Macaca fascicularis: one gene and its partners. The protein of the gene in region 7 purifies or fractionates together with the protein of the main gene of each other region. This does not show direct contact. Links are inferred from orthologs where the notes say so. Each region holds a gene or a part of one and is shown on either strand. Other genes may lie near its edges.

Region 1 (4,150 bases), on a different chromosome or scaffold from region 7:
AAAATTAGCTGGGCATGGTAGCACGTGCCTGTAATCCCAGCTACTCAGCAGGCTGAGTCAGGAGAATCGCTTGAGCCCAGGAGGCACAGGTTGCAGTGAGCCGAGATTGCACCACTGCACTCCAGGCTGGGCAACAGAGGGGGACTCTGTCTCAAAAAAAAAAAAGAAGAGAGCATAATGTAACAAGACCTTCATCTTGACTGTCCTTGGGTGAACTACTTAAAGCTTTTGAACCTCACTCTACTCATCTGTGAAATGGAAATAGAACAACTACCTCTTACAACAACAAATTAAGTAATGAATGGATCTAACTGAGCCAAGCATATATAAAGTACAGTACTAGATACATCTTAACAGCTTCCCTTCCTCAGATTTGCAATCTAGAATGGAAATCTCAAAAACTTAAAAGTATTCAAAACTTAGTATTTTTTTTTTAGAGATGAGGTCTCGCTTTGTTGCCCAGGCTGGTCTACAACTCCTGGGCTCAAGCAATCCTCCATACCTTGGCATCCAGAGTAGCTGGCATTACAGGTGCAAACCACCATGCCCAGCTTGACAGCTTATTTTTGAAAATTACCAATAAGGCGTAGAAAGAGTAATATCAAAATATCACTTTTAAGTCCTCTCTGTTTTCTGATCCCATACTGGACACATCCTCCTGCCCCAAAATGAAAACAACCTTTAGATATCTCAATTGACAAGAACGTTAAAATTTCACTTAACTGGTTACTTGAATTTAACCTAAAAGTTTTCTCAGTTTTTAAATTAGTAAATATAGTGATGAAATTTATATGTAAAATATCTACATAATATTCTTACAAAACACCAAAAATCAAATTAGAATTTTCATTCATTTAACCATAAAACATTTTGCTACTAGGCGGCGCAGGCTTTAAGACATAGAACCTCCTCATTCCTCTTTATGAAGCTTAGTGCCCTGAGAGTGCCGGATAATAAGGCATCTTGTTATCTCATTTTTAAAAAACTTTTTAATTTTAGGCCTTTACAACACATGGCAGGTCTTATTAACTCCCACACTGAGTATTCTCTCTTCAGCTAGATTTCTAGCCACTTGAGCTACTAATCACCACTTAAGAATGGTAGAATAAAAACACGACAATCTCTTTTTAAGCTTTTTAGCACGACTCAATTTTAAATATGCGTTTGTGCACTCCTGTACATTTTCAGTCACCTACTTAGGGTTATTTACCAAGATTATACATTCAATACTGTATAGCAACTTTTGTGGATACAGGGATCTGCCTACTGGGTCTGTGGGTTATGGAGACGTTGCTCGCCCCCATTTTGTTGTTGTATTATCACTTTCACCAAACAACACAAGAGAAAGACAGATTTCCGAAAATAAAGATGAGGCTGACTTCTGACCATTCACATTGGGAATGGGACAGAACCTTCTATTTCGGTGCAAGAACACAGCATATAAAAACACCTAGAGCAGAGGGTCCCAAATGAAAATATTCTTAGACTTACACGAGGATTTCTTAAACACCACAACGTACCTAAATGTACCTGTATTTTCCTCCATTGGCTGTACTGCTTTGAAATTTAAAAATGGAGCACTCTTTAACGAAGAGTGGACATTTCCAACCCTACAACTAACTCACTCGTATGTTCTGTCAGTTACTTCTAAGTTTGAGAAACGTCAGTGTCCTTTCCGAGAAACAGTCAAAATTAGCAGGGTTCTCCCCTATCCCACCACCCTCAGGAATGGGACGTTCACGAAAGCCAAACGAAAGGGGCGAATTAAGAGAGCAGCAGTTCAATGAATTATTCCATTGCTCCTTTTAAATATCTGAGAACTTAAGTAGTTCATCTGGTTCCACTGCTGTCACAGCATCTGACATACAGTAAAAGGAGTAGAACAATTTCCCCTCTCGGAAGAAGTCCTAGCAGGAAGGTGACGTGACACCAAATCGACCCCCGGGGAGAATGCTGACAACGTGGGCAGAAAACAACTATGGGGAGGGGGTCGTCTTTTTGTGAGCAACTCCGCTGCCTCCCGGGGAACATGGGAGCTGCAAAGCTTACTGCTAGAGCCATGAAACGAAAGAGAGAGGGAGAGAGAGAGGCCTCCATAGGGAAAGGGAAAAAAAAGGGATAAACCGTAGAGAATCAGAAAAGGAAGCGTTTTGTTTTGGGGAGGGGGAAGTAGAAGGGAGAAGTGAAGGTCTGCTTCCTAAGCGATTTTTCCCTTCCCCCTCACCCGCCGCTACACTCACAGGCCAGGCCGCCGCGCTGGGCACTGCCCTTGGGCCGCTCCCAGGCACGGACGCAGACCCCTTTGCGTCCCCGGTCCCCGGCCCCCGGCGCAGGCTCCGCGGCCGGATAGCAGGAGAGAGTCCCGGGCAGCCGCCGCCCTCCCCCGCGCCCGCGCCCCCGCCCGCCGTCGCCCGGCTCCCGCTTCCTATTTTCGGAGTACACACCCTACAAGGAGCGGAGCGAGCAGGCCTGGCAAAGACCTGCCCCCGCGCGGGGCCTCGGGTGACGGACAGGGGCAGGCACTCGGCGCAGCAAGGATGGGGGAAGAAGGGCAGACGAGGGCACCGCCAGCTGCGAGCCAATGCCCATCCCCCGCGACCAGACTCTGGGCCCACCCGCCCGGGCTGAGCCGGCTCCCGACGGCCGGCGCCGCCACCCCCACGACTCTTACCTTCTCTTCATCAGACAACTGCTCCTCCAGATCCGCCATCTTCCTTCTGGCGACAAACCGCGGCGGCGGCGGCGGCAGCGGCCACCTGACTTCCCCGCTTCCGTGCGGTCCTCAGCGCCGCGCGCCCCCGCTAAGGGAGGGGCCCGCCGCTCAGGTCGCCGCGCACGCGCCCCGAGAGCCCCGCCTCCCTCGACCCGGCCCTCGGGGACTGAGCGCGGCTGTGCGCGTGCGCGGGTGCCTGGTGGCCGGGCGGGGGACGTTGTCTCCCGGGGCCGCCTGCAGCAGGCTTGCTAGCATCGTGAGTGTAACGTTCTCTCCCCACAGTGACCATATGGGCTCAGTCTGCGATGAGTACATTCTGAGCCCTTCGTTATGTTTCTATCAAGTCTTGAACTCTGCCAGCTAAAATCTGAAAAGGTGGACAAATAGAAGCTTTTTAAACATTGTTTTTAAAAAAATATTAAATAGCCGGGCGCGGTGGCTCAAGCCTGTAATCCCAGCACTTTGGGAGGCCGAGACGGGCGGATCACGAGGTCAGGAGATCGAGACCATCCTGGCTGACACGGTGAAACCCCGTCTCTACTAAAAAATACAAAAAAACTAGCCGGGCGAGGTGGCGGGCGCCTGTAGTCCCAGCTACTCGGGAGGCTGAGGCAGGAGAATGGCGTGAACCCGGGAGGCGGAGCTTGCAGTGAGCCAAGATCACGCCACTGCACTCTAGCCTGGGCGGCAGAGCGAGACTCTGTCTCAAAAAAAAAACAAAAAACAAAAAACAAACAAACAAACAAAAAATTAAATAGTCGGCTTTCATTAAAATACACACACACGACCCGCTCCATAATTGAAAGATTGCTCTTTATATATTCCTTTATTCATCCAACAAATATTTTCTGGTCCTTTAACGGGGTGCGGGGCACTGTGTTAGTCTCTGGGGCTATAGTGTTGAGGGAGAAAAAAACAAGCTAGACACGCCTGTTCATAGCACCACAATTCGCAATTACAGAGAAATGGAACCAACCTAAGTGTCCATCAACCAATGAGTGGATAGAGCAAATGTGGGTATATACATCATGGAATACTACTCAGCCATAAAAAGGAACGAAATAATGCCTTTTGCAGCAACTTGGAAGGAGCTGGAGGCCATTATTCTAAGTGAAGTAACTCAGGAATGGGAAACCAAATATTTTATGTTCTCACTTATAAGTGGGAGCTAAGCTGTTAGTGTGCAAAGGCATAAGAATGATAAAATGGACTTTGGGGACTGGGGAGGGGATAAATTACTACATATTGGGTACAGGGTACACTGCTCAGGTGATGGGTGCACTAAAATCTCAGAAATTACCACTGAAGGACTTACCCATGTAACCAAAAATCCACCTGTACTCCAAAACTATTGAAATAAAAAGAGAAACTTCTGTTCTCAAGAAGCTCATTTTTGTACTCATTAAACAAACATATATTGAACAGTTGGGGCCGGGC
Region 2 (3,500 bases), on a different chromosome or scaffold from region 7:
ACACAGCACTGCAAAGAAAGGCAGGCAGTACTCCCAGCATTCACTGATAACAGCAAAAAGCAGTACTTGAAGAACTACCGAAGCTGAAACTTCAAATGTGTCAGTGTAATGTATTCCTAGTTTGTTCCTTGCTTTATCAATGCTAGGTCGACTCTCTTCTGTCTGACTTACCTGAAGACTTACGATATCAGCATTGCAGCTCAAGATTTCTTGAATAATGGCCTTTTTCCTGTAGTCCCAGTTTAGTGCCCATGATGGACAGTAGCCGTATAACTGCCGGGTCGCATATTTATCACAAAGAACATTATAGCACATGACAGAAAACAAGGCTGTAGGAAAGATAACTTTACTTATTCACACACGTGGCAGAAAAAAAATATATAATTAATTTCAGTAATGGTTTTCACTTAAATGTTAAGTTTGACTGTATTCATTCAATCTATAGTCACTGAAAAGCTACCATATGCCACACATGGGGGACAAATAAAAGACGGATATCACAAGCAGGATAGATAAGTGAACAAGTTAGAATACAATGTACTACCTGCTACAGAGGCAGGCACAGAGGTTTGGAAGTAAAAAGTCTAAGCTTGTGAGCCCTTCGGTCTCTGAGTCTAACATTCCTCATTTTTATACTCCTACCATGCTACCAATTGTTCATGTATGACATGGAAACTGGATAGGTAGTCCTTAATAGGCATGCCTCATTTTCTTCTACAGCACAACTATTATTATTTCATGCAAAATGAAAACGGTATCATAGACCAAATTTTGTTACACGCGCCATGAAAGCTCCCAAACTATTTTCATAGAATTTAGGTTAAAAGGAGATGAGCAGTCATTAGTTCCACTTTCCTCTTAAGTAAGGGTTTAGCTCTCTTATAACTTGGTAGTGTCAAATCCATTTGGAACATGCTAGGATTTGGAAACTTCTAACAGAGAAAGATTTGGGTGTATTCATTTTAAGTGAATTTCATCAGTACATTACAGAAGGGTTTCTCAACAAGAGTGGCACTACTGACATTTAGGTGAAGTCTGTTGCGGGGGCCTGTGCCATGTACTACAGAATGCTGAGCAGCATCCCTGGCCTCCATCCACTAGATGCCAGCAGCACTTCTCCCCGGTTATGACCATCAAAGTTGTCTCCAGACATTGCCAAATGCCCTCTGGGGGATAAACGGCCCATTTGAAAAGCACTGCTTTATAGTACACTTTCTATATAGCACAATGTAATATACATAGAGGTCATGTGAGCAAGAATTCTTTTTCATTACCTCCCAAACCAAATCAACCTTAAACATTCTATCTTAATGCTACCTGTAATCTAAGCATGCCGACAATACTGTTAGGCTTATAATAGAGACTGAGCAAAAACAACAGTTAAAAAATAAAAGACTACCAACCAGTTGGCCTTGTTCTATCTGGTTCTTGTAACATAATCCAAGACCTTGGAGGTGGTTGTTCTGTTGTAACTAGTTGAATAGAAAATACAGAATTAAGCAATATTCTTACACATCTTCCTAATAAAAAGGTTTAAACAAATAACCACTTACTTCTTTTTGCAGTACCTGACAAATTATCAAGCAAATAGTTCAGCAGCCGTCTTGTTCCATCTGGTTCCTGATAAAGGTTCAATATATCCTGGGTAAGGGGATTTCCTGGAAATAATTTTAAAAAAGTAAAATGAAACTAAGCACTAAAATGTTTCAAAATTTTATTATGTACCAAAATTATCAGATCATCTATAACAATGTTATAGTTACTAGTAAGATGTCAAACTACAGAAAATGTTTTTTCAGTTTTTGATATAAGAGTAAAAATGATTCATACCATGTTTTATATACACATTCAAAACATATTAATGGGCTGATGTCAATCAGAAATGCTCTAGCAGCGCTCTGTATCTGACCTGCCTTGCCAACATTTTCAATAACACAGACGGTCATAACAAACAAGAGCGAGTAAAACAGGAACAGGGCAGCCAGGTGACTGGGGGAGTGGGTGGGCAGAGGAAACAGTGAAGGGAAGGATGAAAGCCAGCGTAATGCATCAGAGAATCAAAACTCTACAATGTCACAAAGCTAACAACAAAACATCCTAATGACAAATATACACTTGCACTTAGATCTTTTAAAGTCATACTGAATAAAGCAACAACATGGGGCTGACTTGGCTTAAGAATTAACTCACTAAGGAGCGGGAAAAAAATCCCAGGGCCATGAGCCATCTGTAAATTCAATAACTGCTTTGTACCAAAATGAGAGCAAATACAATGATTTACATATACCTACAAGAGCCTCAAATCCTCTCAGAAGGGTTTCTTATGTACATGAGAAACAAAAGTACAAATAACAACAGTACAGTGCAGGGTTTCATGGAGCAAAGTTCCTATCCATTCTACACAAGCGTTGTGTATTATTCTGGATGCCACAGAGCCATTTTAAGAAAACCAGACAAATTCTGCAGTTTGAAGGCGGCAGATAAAATGGTCAAAGATCTTAACCATACCAAATGAAGACAAACTAAAGGATATGGTAGATAAGAATGATCACAACCTAAAGGAAGTGTTTTTTCCTATTCTCTCATAAAAGATCGGACTCAAAGAGCAGAAGGAAGACTGACAGATAAGATCTAACAGGAAAGGCCAAGGCAGAATAGAAGACGTTGGCAAACACTGTTAGCTATTTGAAACGCCCTGTGCTGTGAGGCAGTGGAGTATCCTTCAAAGAAGCTGAGTTGCATGGATGGGAAAAATGGCAAAGTTCATTTACCTTTAAGATCTCTTTCAGTTTGAAAATTCTAGGATTCTAAGAATTATAAAAAGTAAAAATCTGCTGCTCTAAGTGCAAAGTAGGTATTTGCAGGAATACAATTACAAGAGCACCAATCTCTGACATGTGTGGTTCTTTATACTCATCAGTCTTTTCATGTTTTCACTGAGTCACAATCCTGTGAGATAGGCAGCTACAACCTGAAGCTTATCAGGACCCTGTGTGAAACACATCTTGAGAAAACGAAGTCAACCGAAAACTTCTCAGTATCAGGTAAACAACTCATTCTAACCAGACCTACAGTGATGCTGGGTTTTTTTTTTTTTTTTTTTTTTTTTGAGACGGAATCTCGCTGTGTCGCCCAGGTTGGAGTGCAGTGGTGCGATCTCGGCTCACTGCAAGCTCCGCCTCCTGGGTTCACGCCATTCTCCTGCCTCAGCCTCCGGAGTAGCTGGGAATACAGGCGCCCGCCACCATGTCCAGCTAATTTTTTTTTTTTTTTTTTTTTTGTATTTTTAGTAGAGACGGGGTTTCACCGTGTTAGCCAGGACGGTGTCAACGTCCTGACCTTCTCATCTGCCCGTCTTGGCCTCCCAAAGTGCTGGGATTACAGGCGTGAGCCACTGCGCCTGGCCGATGCTGTCTTTATACTACTTTCTAGTGCAAAGAATATTGACAGGTGACTGCTTCTACCTATGTGATCCCCCCTTGTAAGATCTTGCTTTATAA
Region 3 (3,500 bases), on a different chromosome or scaffold from region 7:
GGGGAGGTGGAGGTTGCGGTGAGCCGAGATTGTGCCATTGCACTCCAGCCTGAGCAACAAAGCGAAACTCCATCTCAAAAAAAAAAAAGTAAATTATTCATTTGTCATTGATATGCTTTCTATCAATATCAGGAAGAAGAAAATAGCTACTAGTGAGGAATAGACTTGCCCCTACTCCAACTCCAGCTGAATGGCTATCTCAACTATATAATGAGATTGAGCATAAAGAAAATGAGGCGAAATGTCTCAACGGTACAATTTCAAATGCCTTGGGTTAATCCTCAATCCTCAGGAAAATATTTTAGATATAAGTATTCTCCCTCTCTACTTTATAGGTGATTTTAAAAAATCAATAAAATCTTACAGAGAAACTATAAACACAAGATTCAAACCATTCATATAATTGTCTAATTTATGAAACTGAATAAGGAAACCTAATTGTCATATGTTATTTCAACCAATAATATCATCATTCTTTCTATTCTTATTCAAACTTCATTCTTAATGATCCATTATATGACATAAGCAAATGCAGGCAGAACATTATCATGGAAACTAAAATAGTCTTTTAAGAAGGAAAATAAAATCTATGAAAGTGTATACTTTACAAGGCTTTGACTGATGTTTATTCCTCATGAGCACAGAAGAAAATGTTTAATATAGAATATTCGTACTTGGTCCTATTAATTCATAAACTCTCATATGCTATGCCATAAGAGAAAACTATACAAATTTCAATGTTTCTATGAATTGAGTGTGCCTTTCATCCCAAATTGAATGAGAAAGATAGTCAGAGAAGTATGTATTTTGGACTAACACACGTTACTTAGAATAATTTACTTAACAGGTATAGCTAATTTTACTATTATAACGTTTTCTCTCCTATAATCACATCAATGCTATTTTATTTAGTCAAAAGCTAAACATGAGGCATTCTGGCTGAGGTTTAGACTATTATTATGTAAAGTAATCCCTTTTTTTTTTTTTGAGACAAAGTTTTGCTCTTGTTGCCCAGGCTGGAACGCAATGGCGCGATCTTGGCTCCCCGCAACCTCCGCCTCCTGGGTTCAAGTGATTTTCCTGACTCCCAAGTAGCTGGGATTACAGGCATGCACCACTACACCCGGCTAATTTTGTATTTTTAGTAGAGACTTTAGTAGGTTTCTCCATGTTGGTCAGGCTGGTCTCAAATTCCCGACCTCAGATGATCCGCCCGCCTCGGCGTCCCAAAGTGTTGGGATTACAGGCGTGAGCCATCACACCCGGCCTAGTATTCACTTTTTTTTTTTTAAAGTGTTAATTTAAATTATCTCTTCTAAGAAATTTCAGTTTTACAGAAAATTAAAGGTAAGATATAAAAACCAAAAAATTTTCCCCTTACAAGTTTGTTAAAATGATGGCACATATTGAAATCTTCAAGTTCAATTTGATACATAAAGAACTACTTTTCTTTCAAGAGAAAGTACACGTAGTCACATTCTCAAAATCATACTAAAACTTAACCTTTTTAAAGACCAAAATGCTCTTTCAAAGGATCAGAATACCTGAAAACTGTTTAAAAGTCACTTACCTTTCAAACCTAGAGTTTGTAGCTGGAAGAGCCGACCAAGTTCATAAGGCAAAACCCGTAACAGATTGTTATTTAAAAGCAATTCCCTGTTTAAAAAAAAAAAAAAAAATTTAGTTTAATATACTAAGTTTTATTAACATCTGTATTTGCCATTAACGCTCCTTCTAACATACTATAAGTGATTGTTTATATTCAAGGCACATCTCTATGTGCTCATCCAAAAACACTGTACAATATAAAAGTACTATGAAATGTGTAATTGCCACTACTATTAACAATGTTTCTATTTCTATGATTTACTCATTCTCTAGCTCACATTAAAGTTGGAGGTGTAGGAACTGCATATCATTCTCAGGCTAAATCTACCCCCTTTTTTCTCACCAAAAATGCCTGTCAAATGCAAATGTGACAGATATCCTTAGTATCTAACCAACAGATATCCTTGAACCCCATCTAATCAATAGAAAAAAGTACAAATTTTTACACAAACTTCAGGAATAAACTGTAATTAGTAGCCAATCACCTATACCTTAAGTAACTGAATACTAATCATATCAAAATACTAAGAAAACAAACCAAAAAATTAATAAAAAGATTAATAAGAAACAGGTGAAGTATATTAAAGAAGACAAAAGAAAATGTGAAAAGATGAAAAAAATACTATGATCGACAATTACTGACATGAAACATAAATATTAAAATAAAGCATAGATAGTACAGACAAGAATAGGATAGCATAAGTAAGATCTAACTTTATGACTGTGAAATTTTGAGCAGACTATAGGAAAAAAATAGCACCCTCATTAGTGGATGACCAAAAGTAAAAAAAGCAAGTAAAGGAAAGTGAAGAACAAGATTTTAAAACAATGTTTAAGTTTAAACATGTGACGGCAATTTTTAAAAATTATTACTCAACAGATAATCACTGGAAACATTTAGATAAGATCTTAAGATTTCCTACAAAGTTTTTTTAGGATTTCTTTAGGGAATTTTTAAAGAATCCCTAAAAATTAGAAATAAATCCATTTCATCAGGTTTTAAGGTTTCCTTAAGGAGTTGTATTATGAAATATAAATATACTTTGACTCAAATAATAGAGCTATGTTCTTATCAGTTGTATTCATCAGCAAAACTTCATTTTTCAAGTATTTCTGATCAGTCTTATCACATTGGATAATGAGACTTACTATTTTAGCCTCACCCCACCTCAAGTTTGTCAAGGAAACTGGTAATACAAGCACACTCTAATTCAGGACCCTCCAAATTTAAAGAAAGGAAAAGAAATGAATAACGGAGGCCAACTCAAGCACTATGCTTAGACAGTTTATATAATTTGATAGTTATAACACACCAAAATCCTACTATAATTGAGTAACATCCCTAATTTTCTTAAATTTAGAATTTTATATAATGAGTCATGTCTGTATTACTTCCTCACCTGAGAGACACCATGTTTCCTAGTTCTGCTGGTAAACTTCTGAGTTTATTGGATGACAGATCCAGGTAAACCAGATTATGAAGCTTGGCAATATCAGGTGGAATGCGACTAAGGTAATTGTCATTTAGGTGCAGCGCTGTCAAGTGTGTCAATGACCAAAGTGATGTACTTAGGCTCCGCACTCTACCTAAAAGGCAAAATACTGAAGTGTAAAACCCCAGGCCCAAGATGACACCTAAACTACAAGGACTAAAAAGTGGTAAGAGAGGCTGCAAATACACATGGATATTGTATCTCTGACATTTTAGTTTTTCATTTAATGCATTTGATTGCTTCCAAACACGCCTGGCCCTCCTTTACGTTCATGCCACTTTCACATGACAACCACTCTTTCTCATGAACCTTCCATGTATTAAATGAGAAGTGGCAAAATGTGGAAACCCTTGGAGTTTAACTGAGTAGTTCTCAATCAGAGGCAATTTGGTTTCCTCA
Region 4 (3,500 bases), on a different chromosome or scaffold from region 7:
AGCGTTCCCAAGTTTATAAGAGGCCCAAGAAATGCATTTATTCTGTTGTCTATTAAGCCTCCACGACAAGGAGAAAGTTACAAGTAAATCCTTGGTTCATGAGGAGTTAAGAGCTTTGTGCATAAGCAGGTTCAAGAACCAAACTCCTGTTTGCCTCTTGATGGTTCAGAAACATTCAGCTGCTTTCACCTCTAGGACAGTATCACAAACGTTTAAGAATTTACTCTCATTATCAACATTGGAACTTTACGAAAACTGGATTCCTGTTTCATCAGAAGCCTGTATTAATGAAAAACACATTTTGTTCTTTAGTGCTTAAAAAAAAAAAAACTCATCTATTTTTTTGGGATAGCCATTCCTCCTGTGGATAGTCAACAGCAAGACACCTAAAAGACACGTTTTCCCCAGTTCTTATCAAAAATTCATCTCACGGAAAAAGTCATCCAAGAAAGCAAAACTTTGCTTTAAGTAGATAAAGTACTGTTTTATATGCATTAGACCAAGCAATCCACTCAGGGTTTTAACGGTGTAAAAACTAAATCACAGTACAGCTGAACAGTGAATGGATGGGATGGTTCTGATGAGGTATTATTTTGACATTTTGGTCTCAGAAGGTGTTTCCCCAGTATCCAATGTCTTCAACAACCGGAAAAGACCAGCAGCTTCTCGTATCCTACTGAATTCAATACAGAATGCCTGCACTTCTATAAACAAATCCTGTACATTAATAATTTTGTTACGGATCAAGGATTGGAGAAACACACACACAAGACGCACCAACCGATTCTGAAAAAGGGGAAAAAGAACAAATGTTAGTGTGCTCATTTTCCTGGCAGGCAATTATAAAATTTACAGAAATTTCTATTACCTGCATATATTTATCCTTAATTTGTTCACAAGTAGAGATGCAATTTGATATATAAAGGTGAATAAACTCAGGAGGTAGATCAACAGCTGTAGTTAGTCTGTTTCATAAAAGAAAATTTGGGCCATTAATTTCATTTGCTAACATCGAAAAACACTGTTAACCATAAAATACAAAAATTGCTTCGGTCATCTGGTGGAATTATCTGATATATCCAATTCCCTTGTTTTAAATATACTTGGGCAAGTAAACCCAAGAGCCACACCTACTTACTCATAAATTATAACACTTTTTAAAAATGTCTCTACTTAACTGTACATACCGCAATTATTTTTTTGAGCCCTGCCCCTGAGTATTCTTGGTTAAATCATAAGTCATGGTCTGTTATTGGAATTTAGAGTCATAATGAAGGCCAAAGCCAGTATTTTCCAAAGGATTACATGGAATGCTTTAAGGAGAAAAATGAGTGGGCTGGGAACAGGAATTCCATACTCAAGGTATGAATTTCCAAAAGAAGATTAATATATGCTACCTTTTCTAAACTTACCAGACCTCAAAACTTTTTTCAATAAGGCATGAGGAGGCAGTGCTCCAAGGACACTGTCATGAGCTGCTGCAGTCACTTGAGATTTGTGTGTCACCAACAAACATGTTTTCACGCTTAAGGATGATGCACTGTGATAGGTGTTGGGGGAAAACAAACAGGACCCTATCCTTGAATTCCAAGATACTGAGCAGATAGAATCGCACTGACAAAAAGATACAGTGATTCTGCATCTTGGACTCAGGGCCAAATGTCTGGTAGTGACAAGAACTGCTATAAGAATATGGTGAAGGGGAAGTGAACACTCAGCGTGGTCAATCCACGCTGTGCGGGCAAACCTGCACAGAACTGGGCCACTGAAAAGAGTCTTCACTCAGTAGGGGAAAGACTGGAACAAGGAGTGGGAGAAATGCAGCAACACATTTTCAACAAGCAGCTAGCTGGTTTTGCCGGTGACCAAGGTTAAAGTTAAAAATTAATCTGGAAACCTCACGCTTCCTCCCCCTCCTGCCCCTAAAAGAATGCACTCCTTCTATGCACATACTTCCACTCCCTCGGCTTCCAGCTGGGCTTTTTTCTCCAATAGTTGATAAAAAAAAAAAAGGGCACATTCTGTAGTTCAATTTCACATAGATTTTTCAAAAAGCCCCAACTTACAAACAGGTGTTAAAAAACTATGCTGTCACTGAAGTTTAGTCGCTTGGCACTCAGAACGGATTTCCCCATATAGGAGGACCATATAATTTATCATCCAAAGCAGGATACCACGTGAAAGGGAGCTCAGATGCAAAGCCTCCACCAGGACTCAGGCACACCTGAACCTCTGGCCATCCTGCACATAAACAACTGAAGCCCTCCAGCCCATCTAATTCACAATTTGCCTAAAAGATATTTGTAAGGAAAATACTATAAAATGCAAACACTGTATAGCACACATCAAGAAGGGAGGACGTTCTATTTTCCTGACAGTCAAGGATGGCAGGGTCAGGAGACGGGGGAGTCAGAAAGGCTGGGAGAAGAGCATGAGGAAGCTAGGACGGCATTCCTAGGATTCTCAGCTCCTAAGGTCCATATTTTTCCACACTTACAGCTGTTAGTCACTAAGAAAAAAATATCTGTATTTGTACAGGGATAAAGAAGATAGGACTATGTACAGGGAAATGAATTTCAGTAATTGGCTGGCACAGTGGCTCACGCCTGTAATCCTTGCACTTTGGGAGGCTGAGGTGGGCAGATCACTTGAGGTCAGGAGTTCGAAAGCAGCCTGACCATGGCAAAACCCCGTCTCTACTAAAGTACAAAAATTAGCCGGGTGTGGTAGCACACACACCTGTAATCCCAGCTACTAGGGAGGCTAAGGCAGGAGAATTGCTTGAACCCAGGGGGTGGAGGTTGCGGTGAGCCAAGATTGCACCACTGTACTCTAGCTTGGGCAACAGAGTGAGACTCCCTCTCAAAAAAATAAATAAAATAAATTTCAGCAGTTTTCATTTATGCTTCTACTAACACTAAATATGTTTGAAATCCTACCCTCAGTTCTTATTAACGCATGCTAAATTCACATGTAGTGAATGCTAAGGCTTAGATTATTTCTTTAATAGTTACTCTTATGCCAATAATATCAACACAAAAATCTGTTACAATTTTTCCTTCCTGGCCATCTAATCTGTATCTATCCCCACACATTTAATCAAATCTAGAAACTTACCGATTTACAACTTCCATTGAATGTAAAGACATGTCCATATTGACCAGGACAGAGAAATACTCAGTGATCTGGCTTGACTGCATTAATTTCAGCAACATTTCTATAGCAACTAAAGGGTTGTTTTCCACAAGGTCAGGAAGTTTGGCTGGGGTGAGGCCAATATGATAGACAAGTTTGGGGTCTTTTTCCAACTCACCAAGGAGCTAAATACACCAGATTTTTAAAGAGAGAGAGGGAGAGAAAAAGAGGGTCTTGAGTCAATTTTTTTTTCCCATGTATATGAAATAAGCATTTTATACAAAAAGCTACAAAACTATCTGCATTGAACCAACTTCATAAATTTCTTCCTTCAAACCCATGATGTCTTGACATTTCTAAATTTA
Region 5 (4,143 bases), on a different chromosome or scaffold from region 7:
AAGTTCTACCATAGCACTAGATCCCTTGATTAACACTGTATATAATTCCACTCAAACATTACAGTACACCTCATATTAACTCTGCCCCTAAACTGCCCTACCTGGTACCTTGGATCTTTTGCCTCTTTGTGTTACAAAATCCCCTACAGACCCAGGTAACAAATAACATCATAAATGTTTGGTTGTATATTTTCCTAAAATCTCAGGAAAATTTTAACAAATTTTAACAACAAAAAAACAGCTATTGTTTAACATTGCTTTTAAAGAGCAAAAAAATAAATTGTAAGCTAAGTGTTTTTCACTAGTCTATTAATGCTTACTCATTATTTCACATATACATGTGAAGCATACATTCTATTTACATTATCAGAAAATCTTATGAAGTCTGTCACTAGAAAACATAAAACTATAACTTATACAGGTTGTAAAAAATTCTGTAATGGTCTTTCAAAATATAGGTACTTTTAATACCAGTATCTACTAAAGGAATACAAATGAGAACTGGGTTAGAAGCACTTCTAATAAAATCTATTCATACACCTGAAAATTTTATTTACTTTTGAACAAATAATTTTCAGGTTATAATAACTGTAAAGCATCTCTGAAAAATCAAAAAGTGCAACACCCAAAGTTATAAAGGAAAAACAAAGGTAATTAGTCCTTGTAGGGAGGTATATGGGAAGTTGTATCATTCTGAATTTTTTTGTTTTTGTTTTTTGCCCAGCATCATAAGATAAGCCACATTCTGAGTTTTATCTTCAAGATCAGGTACTTGGGGATATAAATCACTCACACACAAGCATTTTGCCCTCCTTTTCCACCATATAAATTAAAGTATTATAGAAACTGAAAAATTGTATAGGCTGTATGTGTTGCTTGGTTAAACAAACAGGCAATTCTCATTCCCTGAGATCAGATTAGGTTACAGATATCTCTACATTGTATACTTAAAAAAAGATTCCTGCCAACAAATGTTTACATTAACTTATTTGTATTGATGAAGTACTAATTCAGATACAAAAAAAAAAACTTTAGCAGAGTTTCTCACTTCCTCTCTAAAATACAAAGTATTCACAAAAGTTATTACAATTCAAGCTCTCAGAAAATATGAGAGAAAGATACCTTTTCTACAATAAGGATCTTACAAAGTCAAGAAATAAGTGAGTAGAGTGGAACATGTTTTGTCTTTAAGTGTATTTTGTATTTCTTTTTCTTTAGATTTAACATTATAAAAGAACTACAAACTAAACAAATTCAACATACAGAGCTTACTAATTATCTTGGTCCATTATAAAACATTTCAATGAACTGGGCTCTGAATATAGACACTTAACCATTTCAGCCCACTATGATTCTTAACCCTTTCAATTCGCAATCTTACAAAATTATAAGAGACATATTCATTGACGTTTGGAAAGAACTGTTGTCAATTATGCCAAGCATTCCCAAACTCAACATAAACCTTGTATGTAAATGGATACTTTAAAATTTCTATCTCATCCCTCACCCCATACTTTATTCTTTCCACTTATCTTGCTTCAAAAGGGAAATCAAGAGTCACACTTATGATTCCGAGCTCTAAAAATTCCTAATATCAAGCATGAAGTATGTTCAACTTTGGAACCTTAAATTTAAGTTGGCTTCCCTCGTGAACTGACTTTGAGTACTTTTTACCATTTCGCCAAGAATCTAAGGGTTCAAATCAGTGTACTTAATTACGAAGAACTGCCCAAACGATTTTAAAAGGAGTGGGATTCTCTGACCAAGAGTTTTATGAAAATGAAACAAAATATGTTGCACTCAGTCTTCCGGATGTTGAAAAGTGAAGATGTCTCCAAGGATTCGAAGGAAGTTGTTTAGGTTCCTTCTGAGAGGGTGGTACCCTTATGTAAGACTTTTGTGGTGGTAATACCGTACCTACAGGCCTGGAATAAATATAAAGTCTAAAACCTTGGAAATACTTTGTATAAAAGAAAACTACAATTCACTTTTGCTAAGGACCACAGTCACCAAGAGTCATCAGCTTTCTCCCGGACAGACAACAGTGCCTCAATTAAGAACTACAAAGGCCTCTTTTAACCCTACTCTTTTCTTCTGTGAAACTTTTAAGTGAGACCTACAACAGCAAAAGGTGGAGAGGCCCCTGCGGAAGTAGAAAACCAGGGCTTGTAACTTCACAGACAGAAGCATCTGTGGTTCCTCCGCCGCCCCAGGACCATCCGGACTCAGTCTACGACACTACGGAAGCTTCACCTTCCTGGTGCGGTGGCAGAGGCAGCATCGCAGTTGCATTCCTTCTCCCTCCACCATGCACAGCCTTCGGTATCCCAGGGCCTGCAGGCTCCTGACACCCGTTAGCCAGTCCAGTGTCTCCCATCTGACACTTACACACACACTAACAGAAATACACATAACTGGCAGATGATATACGTGTATTGAGAATGTAAGGAGCCAGAGACAGCACCAGCTGCTGGGAAGGCGGCAGAGCCGTCTAAAGCGGGCTCGAGCTCCTCAGCCACGGCCGCAGCCGCCTTCTCTTCTCCCCCAGGAAGCAGCGCGGCGGTAGCGGCTCCTCCGCGCTGGCGGGAGCCTAGGGGAGTGGAGTCTGGGGAAGCCCCGCCACTCGCGGATGGGACCGGGCCTAGGATGTGGAGCTGCTGCTGCAGCGGCCCGAGTACAGCGACGCTTTACGTCCCGTCCACCACCACCCCCATACACACCCCCTCCCTCCCTCCACCGCCGCCACCCCCCCTCCCCGCCCGCTCCGCTCTCCCTCTCTCGATTGGAGCCGAGACAAAAGCAACGGGAAGCGGCGGGCCGGGACGCTACCGGCGGACCCCGGGCGCGGCCGGACCGGCCCCGGGGCATTCCCCCGCCTTGCGGGGGCCCCGAATCCGCCGCCCCCGCCGCGCGCCCCGCTGCCAGACTTCCGAAAATTTGCCAAAAACTCACCGCATGAATTTTCTTGTCCCGCGGATCCAAGATGGCGACGTATCCACCGCGGAGGCTGCTGGGAGCAAGACCTTTACCCTCTGACCGCCGCCGTGACCCCCGTCGCTCCGGCTTCCCTCCGGGTGGCGGCGGAAGGTGGGAGCGGCGACTGCAAAGCAGCAGCGATGGGGTGGGTAGGCTGCTTCCAGCGCGCTTCTAACAAGGTGGAGAGAGGCGCTTCACTCCCCTACCGCCCTTACCGCTGCTCCGTCTTGTCTCCCATCGACTCACAGGGAGGCTTGCTGCTCCTCCGCGGCCGTTACAGAGAGCGGGGCTTCTGCGGCCGCTACCGTTTTCCTGGGGCCAGGTTGCTTCGCAGAGGGCTCTGGCCCTAAGTCCGAGGGGGACCGCAGGGTCCAGGGGCGATGAATGGTGAGGTGGCTTCAGTCCGCCCTCCCCGGGGATGCTGAGCGTGTTCGTGTTTGTGTTTGTGTTGGACACCCCGCCCCCGCACGTCCGCCTCCTCACTCCTCCCCTCCTCATTCCCGCCACCTGGGCGAATTTAACCGTGTCCCCGTTTCCTCCCTTAGCTCCCGCAACCTCCGGAGCTTGTGCGCGTACTTCAGGGACCGGCACCACGTCACCGTCACCTTCTGAGTAGTGAGTTCCCCTCTGATGAAACCACTGGTGTATTTACTCACCATCCTCACCTTTTTTTTTTTTTCCCCCCCCAACCTGGTGGAAGGAAGTACATAATGGAGAGCAAGTTTTTAAAGCACGGTCGTGTCGTGTGAACTTGCTCTAGCCAAATTAGGTTTATAGCACTTTTTCTGACTCTCATTCCCCCCAGTCTCCACATAAACAAGAGTGACCAGCTGGGTCATCCGCAAGACCATTTGAAATTATTGTGGCTTGGGTGGAAACTTAAAGGAGTGAAGTATCTGCTTTCCAGAAAAATCGTTGTCGTTCAAAGTGAAATTAAACTTTTCTTTGCAATAATACCCCTTTATTTCTTTGTATGTCTGTAAACTCTTCACTTTTTTTGTAATTACTAGACATTTCGTTCTTAAGAGCCTCTGCATGTGTGTTTTGGAATTGTGTAGCTTCATAATGTGAAAAATTGTCCTTTTCTATTTGAGTAATTAATTTGAAGTAAATAAAATTTCTACTTCACTTGGTTGTTTCTTTTAAAAATTCACCTTTTCTTACAAA
Region 6 (3,500 bases), on a different chromosome or scaffold from region 7:
CTAAAAATATAAAAATTAGCCAGGTGTGTTGGTGGGCACTTGTAATCCCAGCTACTCAGGAGGCTGAGGCAGAAGAATTGCTTGAACCCAGGAGACGGAGGTTACAGTGAGCCGACAAGGTGCCCCTGCATTCTAGCCTGGGTGACAGAGTGAGACTTTGTCTCAAAAAACAAAACAACAACAACAAAAAGAAAATCATTCCTGATTTTTAAAAAATCGTTTGGTTTTTTTGTTTTTTGTTTTTTTGAGACAGTCTCACTCTGTTGCCCAGGCTGGAGTGTAGTGGGGTGGTCTCAGCTCACTGCAACCTCCACCTCCCTTGTTCAAGTGATTCTTGTGCCTCAGCATCCTGAGTAGCTGAGACTACAGGTGTGCACCACCACATCCAATTACTTTTTGTATGTTTTAAGTAGAGACAAAGTTTCACCATGTTGGCCAGGCTGGTCTCGAACTCCTGGCCTCAAGTGATCTGCCCACCTTGGCCTCCCAAAGTGCTGGGATTACAGGCATGAGCCACCGTACCCAGCCAATTGTTTAGTTCTAATAGTTTTGATTACCTAATATAAATATTTAAACTATGTAGAAGTAGCTTTGTGTAAAAATGCCTATATCAAAAAGTCATAAATATGAGCAATAGCTCTCTAAACAATCTTAGTATACCATTTTTTCTCTGTGTCCAAACCAAAGACCTTTTAGATCTGGGTAAAAATACAAACAAGAAAAAAATTAATTTAAAAGGTTAATTTTAAAAAAGAAAGAAAAAAAAAACAAAAGACCTTTTCCTGATGGGTGTAAGGCATTTCTCATAAGTCAAATGTGAAAACAGAATACACCGATATCTAAATTTTTTGTGCATTGGGATTTTTTTTTTTTTTTTGAGACAGAGTCTCGCTCTGTCGCCCAGGCTGGAGTGCAGTGGCCGGATCTCAGCTCACTGCAAGCTCCGCCTCCCGGGTTCACGCCATTCTCCTGCCTCAGCCTCCCGAGTAGCTGGGACTACAGGTGCCCGCCACCTCGCCCGGCTAGATTTTTTGTATTTTTTAGTAGAGACGGGGTTTCACCATGTTAGCCAGGATGGTCTCGATCTCCTGACCTCGTGATCTGCCTGTCTCGGCCTCCCAAAGTGCTGGGATTACAGGCTTGAGCCACCGCGCCTGGCGCATTGGGATTTTAAAAAGAACTTTTCCATATAAAAATTTCCATTTATTTATACCCCTTTCCAAAATGATTTAGGGAATAAAATGCAGAGGAGAAGAGAGCATGACTAAGAAGAAAGAAGGAATGTTTGGTAGGCCAAAGTCTCCAAAGGATAAGGTAAATATAAGAAAACACTCTTTGATAATGAAGCAGATACTTAACAGTACAGAAGCCGTTGGAATAATGGTCTTTCACATAGGCTCTTAAAGCACTGTCACAGGATTCTCTCCAAGACTTCAGACCTCCATCTACTTCTTCTGGCTGAGGGTCACTTGCTTCTTTCCGTAAGTGGTCAAATTTAAAGGAAATTTTGTTTCTTGGATCTAAAAATCTGCTATTACCCAGGTCACCGTGCTCTGTAATTAAGACCTTCCAAAGAATGATTAAACATATGAGTAACTTTGTAAAAAAGACAATTCTTACTGCCTTTTGTGAAACACATCAATAAAAATTCTGAGGCAGTTAACTTTTCATTTCGTCAGACTTCTCTTTCATAATTTTTCAACCAAGTCCCATATTATTAAGAATATTACATTTATGAATAAGTCAACTTTAAACTACAAAATATCCCCCATATTAATAATAAACTTCATTTCTTGGTTTCTAATATATTATCTATATAGTTATTTTATACATAGCTGTGATAACTTTTATGTACACTTTTGTATTTTTTTCACAGATTTTTTCCAGAGTCATTATGAAACTTTAGGGCCATTACACTTAGCATTTATAATAGGTAACACATTCACATGGTTCAAAAATGAAAAAATACATAAAGTAAACTGTTTTCTCACCCCATTTTCCAACCACCAAAATCCTAAAGTAATAAATAAGTAGTCTAAATTTCAGGAGTGCCTCTGTTTTTCCATTAAATATGTCTGCTGTTACTCTTATCAAGGAGAATTAAAGACAGCTGGAAAACCTGTACGACTTAAATACTTCCATTTTCACTGTTCTTGTTAGAGGCTGCTCTCCTTTCTTGTCAAAGAAACTGCTAGTGTTATCAGAAAGAGGAAAAATATCATAACATGTAGAGTACGTACAAAAACTAAAAAAACTAAGACAAATTTACTCAGCACCTGGTTCAGACATCTGCTTTGGTTTCTATTAATAAGATTTCTACTATCTCCCAGGCATAGCCTTCTAAAAGGCAATTATTACCTGATCTTCATATCCTTCTATCTTCACAGGCGTGAACTGATCCATGTTATACTGGGCAAATGCACTGTTTTTTTAAAAAGTTTTTTTTTTTTTTTTTTTTTAAAAAAAGGAGAGAGAGAAAAGAATTATGTGTAAATAAACACAAAGGTGGTTCACAGAATAGTTAAAGGAAATGTGAAAACTGTACCCGGTACTTTTCCCCTTTCTCCCCAGACATCCAGTGTTAACATAATGCCTTCCAGCTTTCTGAAGGGACTCCTCTCCACGGAGATCTTGGAAGCTCCTTAAACTCTGAAATTACCTTTTCCTCTTTGCTCCTAAGCTCCAAAAGATCCTCTACTTAGACAATTCCAAAGTTGGTTTGTTTTGAGATAGTCTCACTATGTTGCCAGGCTGGCCTCAAACACCCAGGCTCAAGAGATTTTCCCATCTGTTTCCTGAGTAGCTGGGACTACAGGTGCGCACCACCACACTCAGCTAATTCCAAAGTTTGAAGCAATCTGATTATTGTGAACTGCCAACAATTTTAATCGTTTGGGCAGAAGCTTTCAGTAATTCAAAAGAATTTTCCATTGATACACTATTTTGGAAATGATTTTTTTCTTGGCTCTCAAAGTCACGAGAAACTATAATTAAATGTCAGAAGGCATCTGACATGTGAAGAAGGTGAAGTGAGAGTTGAGCATGAGTCAAGTATAAAAGCAGAGCCTCAGGCGCAGAGTAGTTATTTTTAAAAGAGGAATGCATAAATAATCAAAGTACATGCCTAATATTACTGTTTATTTGTCCAAAGCTTGATTTTTGAAATTCTGCATTTTTAATGGCTCTCTAATACATTTTACAAAGCTAAAGCAAAAAACAAGATAAAAGAAAGATGGAAATAAGAGTTATACTTATATTCTTGAAAAGTATCTGTCTTCTCACAGCATTCCCAATTTTAACCTATTAAAATAGACGGCTAGTATTTTTTTCCCATGTCAGACAGGTAATGTGCCAACATAACAAGGTTTGAGGGAGGCACATCTCACATGCATGTGAAAACTCAACCATCACACTTATGAACTACAAAAGGATGGAGACCACTAGTTTCAAGCAGAGCGTTAAACTTTCCCTAGGCTTTTCAAGATAAAGCAAAATAACAA
Region 7 (4,255 bases):
GAAATGGAGGAAGGTTCTCTTTGCGCTTGCCTTCTCACACCCCCAGACTCCCCACATTTTGGTACCAGTTTCTCCTCATGAAATGTAGTCCCTGGATTCTGTGCCATCTGAACATGCTCTCCTGCTGGTGTGTATGTCACTAGGGCCGTGGGGAGACTTCTTAACTCTGTTGCTTCCCAAGGATGGCTGTTTATAATTTGGGGAGAGAGGGGGTGGGAGGCAGGGCAATGCAGGATCAAAATCCTCATCTTACTTTCCCGACCTTAATTAAGGATGTAGCTGCTGCTGGTCCTGTTCAAGTTGCTGGAGCAGGGGTCATGTGAGGCCAGGCCTGTAGCTCCTACCTGGGGCCTATTTCTACTTTTATTTTGTATTTCTGGTCTGTGAAAATGATTTAATAAAGGGAACTGACTTTGGAAACCATGTCTTTATGCTTTCTTTGTAGCCCTGGTTTGTTGCTCCTACTTTTACTGGTGGTGGTTACTGCCCTGGTCAGACTAGGCAGAGCCTGGCCAGCCGGGAAGCAAGTCTCGAGGCACATCCTGTTCTGTTCCCGGCTGGAGAAGCATTGGTTTTCACCCGCCTCTGCCCGGATGGGCCACCTGAGAATCTAGAAATGAGAGCTGATGTGATTAGGAAGTCTCTCCCGGTTACGCTCCATTAGCCAACCAAGCTAGGGGGAGGCAGCTCTTGGCCCCATCCTTACCTATGAGTCAAGGGTCTTCCAAGGCTTTAGATAATGAAATCAGGATTGACTGTCCTTCCCGCAGCCGGGGGAGTGGAAACGTGAGCCTGGAGAGTCGGGGAGGATGAGCGTGTGTGTAGGGTGGTGGTGGCTGCAGCCTGGTGGGGGGTGCAAGAAAAGTACGGAGTATATGTGCAGCTTTTGTTCTTACGGGAAGAAGGGGGGATACAAACTTCAGTGTAGGGAGGAACCCACGTCTGAGACGGGGCCTGAAAGGAGATAAAGGTCACTACTGAGGAAAGCAGAGCTGCCAGACTTCCTCACCGTGGCTCTAAATCTGAATTGACACAGGAGGGGTGGCCACGTTGCGCGCGTTCTCAGCACTCAGGTGGCTGTACCAGGAAGCCGCTCCAGTCCGCCGGCTGCTACCTTCTTGCCGGCGTAGCTCGATGGTACTGCACTCCGTGCAGGCGGCGGGGCCCGGGAGGGGCCGCCAAGGCAGTCTCTCTAGGCAGTCGTCTCGGTGTCCATTTTACCCGAGCGCCCCCGGCTGAATTGCGTCAGTTTCGCCCCGGTCTGAGCCTGGGGCGGGCCCCTCATCTGCAAGCCTCATGAATAATTGAGTACTGGGCCGCGCCTGTTTGCCGACGGTGGGACGAATTCTGCACGGGCTTCCAACTCCCGGGTTCCACCGGCTCATGCATATTCATGAAGCGCCCTGGGGGCGTGGGCCTGGGCGGAGCTAGGGGCGGGGCCCCGCCGGGGCTCACAGTGGCTTCGTCCCGCGGTGACGGCGGCGGCGGCGGTAGCAGCGGCGGCGGCGGCGGGGACTGGCGTCGGGGCGCCGAGCCGAGCGGAGCCGGATCCCGGGCGAGCGCGTGAGTGCGCGGGGGCGGGCGGGCGAAGGAGGGGGCGGGGTCCGGGATGGGGCGGGGGAGGGGCATGGAAGGAGTGGGCGCTTTCCAGCCGAGACCTCGGGTTGAGGTGGTGGTGGTGAGGGGGTCACCAGGAAAGTTTGCAGGGGCCGGGGGCGCTGGGGACGCTGGAGGCCCGGGGGAAGCTGGCGCGTGTGCGCGGGGGCGGAGGGCGCATGGTCTGGAGCTCGTGCTGGCGGAGCCAGAAGAAAGGGGGGAGGGGGCGAGGGCTTGGGGCGGGGCCGGGGGCGGGCAGAGCCGCTGGAGGGACCCCTGCCTCCCCTTCCCCTGGGCCGCGCTAGCCCCCTCCCCCGGCTCCTTCGGCACGCCCCCAGCCACCCCAGTCCGCCCCCACCTGATCGACGTCTGCAGCCCACCGTCTGTTCGCCGGCTGCTTCACAGCCCGCTCACAGGTCCTCCGCTTCTGCCGCCACCGCCGTCCCCTCCTCCTCCTCCATCCTCTTCTCCTCCTCCTCTTCGGCTGCCGCTGTCCCTTCTGTGTCCAGAGCTCCCCACTGGGCCCCTCCAGACAGCCCATTGCCCGGGGCTGTTCCATCTTCCCGTTGGCCCTCCCTCTTTCCACCAGTTTGCGTGCTGTCCCTGCCGACCTCTCTAGCCTTCGATCCGGCTGGAGATCTTGCGGTCCATAGGGGCGACCCCCCCTGCGCCGAGTCCCCTCCGGGGCTGGAGCTGCCCAGCCCTTCTGGAGGCCTTATCTGCCAGGGGTCAGTTCGTCTCTACCCCGCTACCCTCTACCTCCTGGTCTTTTGGGGGTGGGGAGTGCTCAGATCCGCTGCGATTTTGCAGCTTCTGGCCACAGCCTTGGTGGCCTTGCTCACCTGGGGCTCCTGGCTGGGGTCTCTGAGTTGCTGTGGCCACCTCCGCACCTGGGGACTCTGAGCCCGCCTTCATTGCTGCAGCCCCTCATACCGCAGAGGGGCCCATCAGAACCTCAGGTGAAAGGATTTTTTTGATTCTGAGCCAATTCATTTCCATGTCCAACCACCCACACTATGTCCCTAGTAATAATGTTCAAGGACAAGGAAACAATCTTGTGTTTTAATTTTATTTTTTCTATCATGTGCCCCTCCCCCCACCACACTTGGCCTGGCTCTGCACAGTTATTCACACACCCACAGTGGGCAGTCTTCCGTGGTGGTTGACTGACCAGTGGGTTGACAGTACTGGGTTTCTCTACTGTCTTCATACCCTTTCCCATCTTTGAAATCCCTGGGGCAGGGTTAGCGTTAGGGGAGAGGAGTTGGATTTGGCAGAGGTTGAGCACTGGAATTTGGTGCTGTCTTCCCAGACCAGCTGGAGTGGGTGGTTTTAAGTGAGGCAATGCCCCTTGCAGGTTGGAGAGGGTTGGGTTGTCCTCAGGGCTCTGCACACCGGGTGAGGGAAACTTCCCCCTTGCATGAGAGGTGCAGGGCCCTATTCCCCAGGGTCTCCATGTTTTTGTGGGTGGGAGAGTGCTTCAGGAGCCAGGATGGGAACTGAGGAGGTGGTGGAGTATCTGAAGAACAGGTGACAGCACTAGGGCCTGGGAGAGTGAAGGAATGGTCTGGGAATGCTGGTAGCCTGGGGTCACGGAAGAGGAGGAGGTGCTTATCAGGATATTAGCTCATTGGTGACACTGAATGGAATCACAGTAATCATAGGCAACATTTATTGAATCCTTATTATGTACTAATCATTGTGCTAAGCAGTTTTCATGTACTATATCACGTAAGCCCCCTCAGGGTCTCAATAATCCCATTTTTCAGTTGGAGACACTGAGGCTTAGAGAAGTCACACGGCTAGAAAGTGGTAGACCCATCCAGCCTTGAATCTTGGTATATCAGACCCTGAAGCTCCTGTGGCAGGCTTCTACCACAGGGCTGTGCCACTTGGTTTAATTTCTTCTGTTCCCCTCAGAACTCCTTAAAGCCAACCCAAGGCTGGTGAGTGAAGCCCACATAGCCCCTTTTCATAGGCTGTGGCTGTTCCGCCCTGACTCTCTTGGAAGGTGGAGCCCCAGGGAATTTTCCCCCAAGTCACTCCACCCCCCGGATATTCTCAAGCCCTGTCCCGTTCTCCCAGCCCAGGCCTGGGCCGGCTCCTCCTTCCTCTTGGCTAGGCTCTGGAAATCCAGTGGGAGGCCATTGCTATGGCAACAGGACTAGGCCCTGGCTTTACCTCATCAAATTCCAAGCTGAAGCCAAGCGATTGAGAAATTAAAGAAAAAAATATATTCCAGATGTTTACTTTTTATTCCTTATTTTTCCGTGTTTGGATGAGACAGCTCTGAGGGAGGGGAGAGTGGGGCAGGGATGTGGAGGGAGAACAGGGAGAGGGGGGAGAAGGAACCACTCCCAGCTTTGGGAGGGAGGGAGAGAGGGAAGGAGGGTGAGCAGGAAGGGGGAGGCAGGCAATGGGGCGGAGCCCAGGTTGGGGAGGAGCGGGTTTTTCCCGTCTCCCGTGAGGTGATTCACAGACTTCATACTTTGCAACTCTCTAGCTCTGCTTTGAGTAGACACCTCCAGCGGGGCCGTCCTACCCAGGGGGCACTCTGGGGACTGTAAGTGGGGTGTCTTGGAGAGTTTGTCAGAGGAGGGAGCAGTGAGTGACTCCCTGAAGCGCTAGGACTTTGGGGTTAGAAGATAAGAATGGGGAG

Evidence for each region.
Region 1: the proteins of TNKS1BP1 (region 7) and CAPZA2 purify together in Homo sapiens (affinity purification with mass spectrometry; 4 studies listed by BioGRID and IntAct, counting the BioPlex papers as one, with this or other methods). This does not show direct contact. The link is inferred for Macaca fascicularis from reciprocal best matches to the Homo sapiens genes TNKS1BP1 and CAPZA2.
Region 2: the proteins of TNKS1BP1 (region 7) and CNOT6 purify together in Homo sapiens (affinity purification with mass spectrometry; 3 studies listed by BioGRID and IntAct, with this or other methods). This does not show direct contact. The link is inferred for Macaca fascicularis from reciprocal best matches to the Homo sapiens genes TNKS1BP1 and CNOT6.
Region 3: the proteins of TNKS1BP1 (region 7) and CNOT6L purify together in Homo sapiens (affinity purification with mass spectrometry; 4 studies listed by BioGRID and IntAct, with this or other methods). This does not show direct contact. The link is inferred for Macaca fascicularis from reciprocal best matches to the Homo sapiens genes TNKS1BP1 and CNOT6L.
Region 4: the proteins of TNKS1BP1 (region 7) and CNOT11 purify together in Homo sapiens (affinity purification with mass spectrometry; 5 studies listed by BioGRID and IntAct, counting the BioPlex papers as one, with this or other methods). This does not show direct contact. The link is inferred for Macaca fascicularis from reciprocal best matches to the Homo sapiens genes TNKS1BP1 and CNOT11.
Region 5: the proteins of TNKS1BP1 (region 7) and CNOT2 purify together in Homo sapiens (affinity purification with mass spectrometry; 5 studies listed by BioGRID and IntAct, with this or other methods). This does not show direct contact. The link is inferred for Macaca fascicularis from reciprocal best matches to the Homo sapiens genes TNKS1BP1 and CNOT2.
Region 6: the proteins of TNKS1BP1 (region 7) and CAPZA1 purify together in Homo sapiens (affinity purification with mass spectrometry; 3 studies listed by BioGRID and IntAct, with this or other methods). This does not show direct contact. The link is inferred for Macaca fascicularis from reciprocal best matches to the Homo sapiens genes TNKS1BP1 and CAPZA1.

Annotation. Positions count from the first base shown.
Region 1 is NC_088377.1:158,309,228-158,313,377, reverse strand, and holds the start of CAPZA2 (F-actin-capping protein subunit alpha-2), read right to left. Parts: upstream 2,801-4,150; 5' UTR 2,711-2,800; coding exon 2,672-2,710; intron 1-2,671. UniProt on the Homo sapiens protein: F-actin-capping proteins bind in a Ca(2+)-independent manner to the fast growing ends of actin filaments (barbed end) thereby blocking the exchange of subunits at these ends.
Region 2 is NC_088380.1:187,471,733-187,475,232, reverse strand, and holds part of CNOT6 (CCR4-NOT transcription complex subunit 6), read right to left. Parts: intron 1,659-3,500; coding exon 1,554-1,658; intron 1,473-1,553; coding exon 1,404-1,472; intron 330-1,403; coding exon 172-329; intron 1-171. UniProt on the Homo sapiens protein: Poly(A) nuclease with 3'-5' RNase activity.
Region 3 is NC_088379.1:56,098,752-56,102,251, reverse strand, and holds part of CNOT6L (CCR4-NOT transcription complex subunit 6-like), read right to left. Parts: intron 3,196-3,500; coding exon 3,009-3,195; intron 1,657-3,008; coding exon 1,571-1,656; intron 1-1,570. UniProt on the Homo sapiens protein: Has 3'-5' poly(A) exoribonuclease activity for synthetic poly(A) RNA substrate.
Region 4 is NC_088387.1:5,748,237-5,751,736, reverse strand, and holds part of CNOT11 (CCR4-NOT transcription complex subunit 11), read right to left. Parts: intron 3,321-3,500; coding exon 3,118-3,320; intron 966-3,117; coding exon 869-965; intron 787-868; coding exon 589-786; 3' UTR 1-588. UniProt on the Homo sapiens protein: Component of the CCR4-NOT complex which is one of the major cellular mRNA deadenylases and is linked to various cellular processes including bulk mRNA degradation, miRNA-mediated repression, translational repression during translational initiation and general transcription regulation.
Region 5 is NC_088385.1:76,975,271-76,979,413, reverse strand, and holds the start of CNOT2 (CCR4-NOT transcription complex subunit 2), read right to left. Parts: upstream 2,646-4,143; 5' UTR 2,563-2,645; coding exon of another isoform or gene 2,441-2,562; 5' UTR 2,323-2,440; coding exon of another isoform or gene 2,111-2,322; intron 1-2,110. Other genes in the region: uncharacterized protein, read left to right, coding at 2,111-2,322, 2,441-2,562, 2,646-3,155, 3,522-3,591. UniProt on the Homo sapiens protein: Component of the CCR4-NOT complex which is one of the major cellular mRNA deadenylases and is linked to various cellular processes including bulk mRNA degradation, miRNA-mediated repression, translational repression during translational initiation and general transcription regulation.
Region 6 is NC_088375.1:121,725,056-121,728,555, forward strand, and holds part of CAPZA1 (F-actin-capping protein subunit alpha-1), read right to left. Parts: intron 3,433-3,500; exon of another isoform or gene 3,334-3,432; intron 2,423-3,333; coding exon 2,359-2,422; intron 1,567-2,358; coding exon 1,360-1,566; intron 1-1,359. UniProt on the Homo sapiens protein: F-actin-capping proteins bind in a Ca(2+)-independent manner to the fast growing ends of actin filaments (barbed end) thereby blocking the exchange of subunits at these ends.
Region 7 is NC_088388.1:16,292,291-16,296,545, forward strand, and holds the start of TNKS1BP1 (182 kDa tankyrase-1-binding protein), read left to right. Parts: upstream 1-1,455; 5' UTR 1,456-1,563; intron 1,564-4,070; exon of another isoform or gene 4,071-4,159; intron 4,160-4,255. Other genes in the region: FACT complex subunit SSRP1, read left to right, coding at 1-1.